Linked DNA regions of Saccharomyces cerevisiae S288C. The protein of the gene in region 2 interacts with the protein of the main gene of each other region in a biochemical or structural test. Each region holds a gene or a part of one and is shown on either strand. Other genes may lie near its edges.

Evidence for each region.
Region 1: of the proteins of MCM2 (region 2) and CDC7, one has a biochemical effect on the other in vitro, tested with the Saccharomyces cerevisiae proteins (14 studies listed by BioGRID).

The regions. Positions count from the first base shown.
Region 1 is NC_001136.10:422,436-426,298, reverse strand, and holds CDC7 (serine/threonine protein kinase CDC7), read right to left. Parts: upstream 2,091-3,863; coding exon 567-2,090; downstream 1-566. Other genes in the region: trans-2-enoyl-CoA reductase (NADPH) TSC13, read left to right, coding at 1-297; ERP3 (Erp3p), read left to right, coding at 2,789-3,466. UniProt on the Saccharomyces cerevisiae protein: Serine/threonine-protein kinase. Needed for the initiation of DNA synthesis during mitosis as well as for synaptonemal complex formation and commitment to recombination during meiosis. Required for HTA1-HTB1 locus transcription repression.
Region 2 is NC_001134.8:174,354-179,146, reverse strand, and holds MCM2 (MCM DNA helicase complex subunit MCM2), read left to right. Parts: upstream 1-1,620; coding exon 1,621-4,227; downstream 4,228-4,793. Other genes in the region: ATP-dependent Lon protease PIM1, read left to right, coding at 1-1,273; NCL1 (tRNA (cytosine-C5-)-methyltransferase), read right to left, coding at 4,559-4,793. UniProt on the Saccharomyces cerevisiae protein: Acts as a component of the MCM2-7 complex (MCM complex) which is the putative replicative helicase essential for 'once per cell cycle' DNA replication initiation and elongation in eukaryotic cells.

The DNA of each region.
Region 1 (3,863 bases), on a different chromosome or scaffold from region 2:
TCAGAACTATGGAACTTTTATTGCCACATTAAATTGCGCCTATGGGGTGACTATCAAAAGAAGCATGGTAACGCTAAGATCCGTGTCCCATTGAATCAAGGTATTTTCAATCTTTTTGTTGCTCCCAACTATACTTTTGAAGTTTGGTCTTGGATTTGGTTTACTTTTGTGTTCAAGTTCAATTTATTTGCCGTTTTATTTTTGACTGTTTCAACAGCTCAAATGTACGCATGGGCTCAAAAGAAAAACAAAAAGTATCATACCAGAAGAGCATTCTTGATTCCATTTGTATTTTGATCCTCCTGTTTGCAACATGCCCAAATGCAAGGTAAAGAGATATTAGCTTTCACGAAGTGGCGTAGTAGCACTATTGTTTAAGTATCGTCTGCACCTGTGCCTTTTGGTATTTGGCACTATCTTAAGCGCATGCCACCAATTATGCTAAACCGTTTCACTTTAAGAAATTTTTATTTAAATCTTTCACTATGCAAATATGTAAGTACTTTTAAAATTCTCTTTCCAAAGAAAAGGAAATTATTTCAGACTAGCAGTAATTTATCACTTTGCTATTCAGATATTAGGAGAACATCCTTATCGAGCAAATCTGCCTCGCTTGAGCTGACAACGTCATCTTCGTCAGTACTCTCGCCATCCAGTAAATATGTGTTTTCATTCAATTCATTGAAAAACGGGGTTTTCAGTAAATCTTCTGCTGAACTACGCTTTTGAGGATCCATTTCGAAGCATTGTTCCAAAACCTGGAAGCACCAATAATGATCGGACCAAATTTCTTCTTGATACTTTTTCAACTCATAGGCATCAACAGCATCCATATTTGTCTTGGGGTCAGGTAATTGAGGTTCAATGGACATCCTGTCATGTAATTCTTGTTGTAGAAATCCGAATGTTTCAAAAGCAACACTGTACTCAGGGAACGTACCTATGGTACATTCTTTATTAAGCAAATCATAAACAAATTCCTTCAATCCATTAGAATATCCGTTTGGTTTATCCCAAATGAGCCCACTAGCTTCGAAACCCAATCCATGCAACGCTGCGCATTTTCTTAATTCTTTCCAACCAAAAATAGTACATAACTCTAGCAAAGAATCCGCATCATCTAAACTTTGGAACATTGGAAATCTTCTGCCCAAAAGACTTAAAAGAATAACACCTACGGACCATATATCAATCTTTGTGCTTTGAGCCCCACACTTCATTAACACTTCTGGTGCCCGAAATCCACGAGTCCCTGCTCTATTAGCCCTTTTAATTCTACGCGTTTCATTTTTAGGATAACCCTTTGTCAGATCCACCCCATTTACATTGTTTAAGTGGACGACCTTGCCATTTTGTATGGTGACCATAGGAGGTGTTTGGTTATGTGAGTTAGGAGAATATTGATTACGCATAATGCATGGACAAAATTGTTCGTGATTCCTCATTGAATATCCACCATCATGGTTTGTATTTGCATAATTGTCGTAATCGTTTTGACTAGATATCATGCTTTTATAATCCATTTGAGCCTCGGCTAGACCAAAATCAACAAGCACTCCACGCCCCAATTCCAAATTAAATAAAAAATTTGTCGGTTTGATGTCTCTATGAATAATTCCCTTCGAATGAACAAACTTCAATGCTCTTAGTAGCTCCCAAATGTACTTCTTGATTCCCTTGATTGGTAGATCCCTGTAGAAAGTTCGGAACTCCTCGTGGGGATAGTACGGTAAAACAGCAATGACTTGATCTCGCACCCTTTTTGCATCACATAGAGGGGCTACTCTCGAAGATCCCGTCATTATGTACAGCAGGTTGAGCTCATTATAAATTCTTTGCGGTGACGAGGTAACGTATATTTTCTTCAAAGCAACATAGTTCGAACCATAATTCCAAAAATGTGATGCAAATTTTTTTGTTATTTTCCCAGTGATATCTTTGGCTTTATACACTGACGAAAATGTTCCCTCACCGATCTTGTCTATGAGTTTATATTCATTTTCTATACCCGGTAGATCATGATAGAGCTGTATCATCTCTTCTTTGATTTCTGGAGGTATATCATCGATATTCTTCGTTTTGCTTGTCATTATGATTGTTCTACTTCGAAACTGCCTCTTTCCTAAGAAAATTAGATAATAGCACAATTGTTATTGAAAATTTAAGGTAGTCTGTTACTTCCCGTTACGCCTGCTGAGCGGTTTTTTTTGTTAATGGTTCTTGCATTGATTTTAGGCGGAAATGTGAAGTGCTCTTCTACTCACTAAATTGATGCCGTTCAAGAAGACGCCCCAGGGCAAAGAAGACATAATTTAAAAGCTGACCGGGGACAAATGTTTAAGATTTATGTAGGCCTAAGGCGTTTATCGAGCTAAACGGGAAGTAATTTTACTCTATAAAATGTCATCTACACAAGCATTGCCCCATTAGATTCTTAATTATCTTCAAAACCAGGGCTACACCTTAATTTCCCAAGCTAAAAACATGCTTATATAGAGGTTTAAAAAAAAAGCGTCGTTCGTTGATAAAGTTTACGAACGTATCAGTATGATCGCGTAGGTTTCCACATACTACTTAGACTTCCTACACTGTCATGGTCATTATGTCAACAAAGGTGAGACCAACGCGTCCTGACCTGAATTTTTCTCTCTTTAAAACAGAACGCGTTCTTCATAATCCTCTCCTCAATGAAAGAATTTGGGGGGACAATATCTTGACAGAAACTGGTAAGGCTCTTGATAGTTACCGTACTTGAAGGGACACTGTGAACTGACTAAAAAACTCCGTCATGTCCAATTTATGTGTACTTTTCTTCCAGTTTTTTTTTTTAGCACAATTTTTTGCTGAGGCATCACCGTTGACATTTGAACTGAATAAAGGTCGAAAGGAGTGCTTATATACGCTAACTCCGGAAATTGACTGTACAATCTCATATTATTTTGCAGTACAGCAAGGAGAGAGCAATGACTTTGATGTTAACTACGAAATATTTGCTCCTGATGACAAAAACAAGCCAATAATCGAGAGATCTGGTGAACGTCAAGGTGAATGGTCATTTATAGGCCAACATAAGGGAGAATATGCTATCTGCTTTTATGGTGGTAAAGCACACGACAAGATTGTTGATCTGGACTTCAAGTACAATTGTGAACGCCAAGATGATATTCGAAATGAAAGACGCAAGGCGAGAAAGGCGCAGAGAAACCTGAGAGACTCTAAAACCGATCCCTTGCAAGACAGTGTGGAAAATTCTATAGACACCATAGAAAGGCAGCTCCACGTTTTGGAACGTAATATACAGTACTATAAAAGCAGAAACACCAGAAATCATCACACCGTTTGTTCAACAGAGCATAGAATTGTAATGTTTTCTATTTACGGCATATTATTAATCATCGGAATGAGCTGCGCTCAAATTGCCATACTGGAGTTCATTTTCAGAGAATCGAGAAAGCATAATGTGTAAATAGTTGTGTATTGTTCCTGCATTTTCTATCAACTTGAGAATATATGTTCTTCATATTTAATAGGGGAAAGGAATGACATACCGTATCCAAAATAGCCCTTTTGCTCATGTTAAATCTTATGTAATGACAGAGCTGAAGTGACGTTTCTATTAAAGCACATGTCACGATTTAAAAAATCCTATTTCAAAATGTAGCATTGTTTTCTTCGAGAAATTGACAAAATAATCTTTGTAAGAGTAATTTTTTCTTAGCCATTGGCATATGCACCATGCAATTTCCACCTATTTAATTACACTTGCAGTCAATCAACTCGCTTGGGGATGGTATTCCTCTTGGAGTGTTAAACTATATTTTTAGTGAAAGAAGTGATAAGCAAGTGTGCCAGAAAATACAAGG
Region 2 (4,793 bases):
CGGCGATCCGTCCGCGGCATTGTTAGAAGTATTGGACCCTGAACAAAACAACAGCTTCTTGGATAACTACTTGGATATTCCTATTGACTTATCAAAAGTGCTTTTCGTTTGCACTGCTAACTCTTTGGAAACTATTCCAAGACCTTTACTGGATCGTATGGAAGTCATTGAGTTGACAGGATATGTTGCTGAAGACAAGGTTAAGATTGCCGAGCAGTATTTAGTTCCAAGTGCCAAGAAAAGCGCTGGTCTAGAAAACTCTCATGTTGATATGACAGAAGATGCAATAACAGCGTTAATGAAGTACTACTGTAGAGAAAGTGGTGTAAGGAATTTGAAAAAACACATCGAGAAAATATACCGTAAAGCAGCCCTACAAGTGGTAAAGAAGTTGAGTATTGAAGATTCCCCAACGTCATCAGCCGACAGCAAGCCTAAAGAAAGCGTTTCTTCCGAAGAAAAGGCGGAAAATAACGCCAAAAGCTCATCGGAGAAGACTAAGGACAATAATTCGGAAAAGACAAGCGATGACATTGAAGCCTTAAAGACCTCTGAAAAGATCAATGTTTCCATATCCCAGAAAAACCTAAAAGATTACGTTGGGCCTCCAGTCTACACTACAGACCGGTTATACGAAACAACTCCACCAGGGGTAGTTATGGGGTTGGCGTGGACTAATATGGGAGGTTGCTCACTTTATGTAGAATCTGTCCTTGAACAACCTTTACACAACTGCAAGCATCCAACATTTGAAAGGACCGGGCAACTGGGAGATGTTATGAAGGAATCATCAAGGCTTGCTTATTCATTCGCCAAGATGTATTTAGCACAAAAATTCCCTGAGAACAGATTTTTTGAAAAGGCGTCTATCCACTTGCATTGTCCTGAAGGTGCTACCCCTAAAGATGGTCCATCTGCAGGTGTCACTATGGCCACTTCCTTCCTTTCCCTAGCATTGAATAAGTCGATTGACCCAACGGTTGCGATGACCGGTGAATTGACACTTACCGGTAAAGTTTTACGTATCGGTGGGTTGAGAGAAAAAGCTGTGGCCGCTAAAAGATCTGGTGCCAAGACTATTATTTTCCCTAAAGATAACTTAAATGATTGGGAGGAACTTCCAGACAATGTAAAGGAAGGGTTGGAACCTTTAGCTGCTGATTGGTATAATGATATATTCCAAAAATTATTCAAGGATGTGAATACGAAAGAAGGTAATTCAGTATGGAAGGCTGAATTTGAGATTTTGGATGCTAAAAAGGAAAAGGACTAACTTTTCATCTAAATGGATTAAATACCTGTTTAAACATTCTGTAAATATTTAAACATAAACATCAATTTTATTACACAATACTAAATTCTTTCTTTTCTTCGTGAAGTATGTATGTGGGAAACCCAAGATGGCGGAATCGCGTGTAATATTATTTATCATATGCCTTTTTTAGGAAATCTAATTACTTACCGAAGAAAATAGGACAACGAAAAATTTCGAGAAACGAAACCAGAAAGTAAATGGTGAATATCCTATAATCTACACATTTTGGTACAGTTTACTTAATAATACTCCACACACCTCTTTGCCTCTTTTCTAAGAAGTATAACACAACTACAATATAAGTGATGTCTGATAATAGAAGACGTAGACGTGAGGAAGATGATTCGGACTCAGAAAATGAGCTACCGCCATCCTCACCTCAGCAACATTTTAGAGGGGGGATGAACCCAGTTTCATCACCTATTGGTTCTCCAGATATGATTAACCCTGAAGGTGACGATAATGAAGTTGACGATGTACCAGATATTGATGAAGTTGAAGAACAAATGAACGAAGTAGATTTGATGGACGATAATATGTATGAGGATTATGCGGCTGATCATAATAGAGATAGATATGATCCAGATCAAGTTGACGACAGGGAACAACAAGAACTATCTTTAAGCGAACGTCGCCGCATTGATGCTCAACTAAATGAAAGAGATAGGCTATTGAGAAATGTTGCCTACATAGATGACGAGGACGAAGAACAAGAAGGTGCAGCGCAACTTGATGAAATGGGCCTTCCTGTGCAAAGACGAAGAAGGAGAAGGCAGTATGAGGACTTAGAGAATAGTGATGACGATCTATTGAGTGACATGGACATTGACCCATTAAGAGAAGAACTTACTTTAGAATCTCTGAGTAACGTTAAGGCTAACAGTTACTCGGAATGGATAACACAACCTAATGTCTCAAGAACTATTGCCAGAGAGTTAAAATCATTCCTGCTGGAATATACAGATGAAACGGGTCGTTCTGTATATGGTGCACGTATTAGAACATTAGGTGAAATGAATTCTGAATCTTTGGAGGTTAATTATAGACACTTAGCGGAGTCCAAAGCCATCCTGGCACTATTTTTAGCTAAATGTCCAGAAGAAATGTTGAAAATATTCGATCTCGTGGCTATGGAGGCAACAGAATTGCATTACCCAGATTATGCCCGTATTCACTCCGAAATTCACGTAAGAATCTCTGATTTTCCAACAATATACAGTTTACGTGAATTGCGTGAGTCTAATTTGTCCTCTCTAGTACGCGTCACTGGGGTGGTGACAAGAAGAACAGGAGTCTTCCCTCAATTAAAATATGTCAAATTCAATTGTTTGAAATGTGGCTCCATTTTGGGCCCATTTTTTCAAGATTCTAATGAAGAAATTAGAATCTCATTCTGTACAAACTGCAAATCAAAAGGTCCCTTTAGAGTCAATGGAGAAAAAACTGTGTACCGAAATTATCAAAGGGTTACGCTCCAGGAAGCTCCCGGAACCGTTCCTCCAGGCCGTCTACCAAGACATAGAGAAGTCATTTTGTTGGCGGATTTGGTAGATGTATCCAAGCCAGGTGAAGAGGTAGAAGTTACCGGCATCTACAAAAATAACTACGATGGTAACTTGAATGCAAAGAACGGATTCCCCGTTTTTGCAACAATTATCGAGGCAAATTCTATAAAAAGAAGAGAGGGCAATACAGCTAACGAAGGCGAAGAAGGGTTGGATGTTTTCAGTTGGACTGAAGAAGAAGAACGTGAATTTAGAAAGATTTCTAGGGATCGTGGTATAATTGATAAAATTATATCATCGATGGCACCGTCTATCTATGGTCATAGAGATATTAAAACTGCAGTCGCGTGCTCATTATTTGGAGGTGTTCCAAAAAACGTCAATGGAAAACATTCTATTCGTGGTGATATCAATGTGTTATTATTAGGTGATCCAGGTACTGCCAAATCTCAAATCTTAAAATACGTCGAGAAAACAGCGCATAGAGCGGTCTTTGCAACTGGTCAGGGTGCTTCGGCTGTCGGTCTGACAGCATCCGTCAGAAAAGATCCTATTACTAAAGAATGGACCTTAGAAGGGGGGGCGCTAGTATTGGCTGATAAGGGTGTTTGTTTAATTGATGAATTCGATAAGATGAACGATCAGGATCGTACATCTATTCATGAGGCTATGGAACAGCAAAGTATTTCCATTTCCAAGGCCGGTATTGTTACTACATTACAAGCGCGCTGCTCAATTATTGCTGCGGCAAATCCTAATGGTGGTAGATATAATTCAACCTTGCCTTTAGCTCAGAATGTTAGTTTGACCGAGCCTATTCTGTCTAGATTTGATATTTTATGTGTTGTCAGAGACCTTGTTGATGAAGAGGCAGACGAAAGATTGGCCACATTTGTTGTCGATTCTCATGTAAGATCTCATCCAGAAAACGATGAAGATCGAGAAGGCGAAGAGCTTAAAAATAATGGCGAATCGGCGATAGAACAAGGAGAAGATGAAATAAATGAGCAGCTTAATGCAAGGCAAAGAAGACTTCAAAGACAAAGGAAGAAGGAGGAAGAGATCTCGCCTATTCCACAGGAATTATTGATGAAATATATTCACTATGCGAGGACAAAAATATACCCTAAATTGCATCAGATGGATATGGATAAGGTTAGCAGGGTATATGCGGATTTGAGAAGAGAAAGTATTTCTACAGGTTCGTTTCCAATCACAGTTCGTCATTTAGAATCTATTCTAAGAATTGCAGAATCTTTTGCTAAAATGAGATTATCTGAATTTGTGTCTTCTTATGATTTGGATAGAGCTATCAAAGTTGTAGTTGATTCCTTTGTTGATGCCCAAAAAGTCAGTGTTCGCCGCCAACTCCGCAGGTCTTTCGCAATTTATACCTTGGGTCACTAAAACTTTGTTATTCCTACGAATATCTGGATATGAAGATAAAAAATTCTCTGTCTCAATCCATGTATTGGCAATCCTATTTTCAATATACAAGTTTCCTTTATTTTTTGTATAATTTTTATACACTGTATCTTTAATTTCAATTCAACTAAATACTCAAGATCTAGTCAAAAGTGCATTATTTACTATCCAAAAAAAAAAAAAAAAATGAAGTAAAAAAGAAGTAACAAGACCGAATAAAAAAGGCTCATTACTGAAGTATTATATTCTTATTTTTGCCTTTTAATAATATACATTTACTTTACAGTGGAGGGGATAAGAAACATGATAACTATCAATTAGCAGCGCTAGGAGCTTCAGTAGAGGTTCCGGTAGTAGTTTCTGCGGGAGATTCAGTCGTTTCTTTTTCTTTTTCTTTTTCTTCAGCGCTTGGAGTAGCCTTGGCATTCGCATCAATACCAAAGATCCTATATAATAGCTCATGAGTATCTTCTTTACAAACCATCAAATTGATACACTTGTTGCCTTTCCACACAGGCAAGAATAAGTTTTCTTTGGCAGGGTCATTT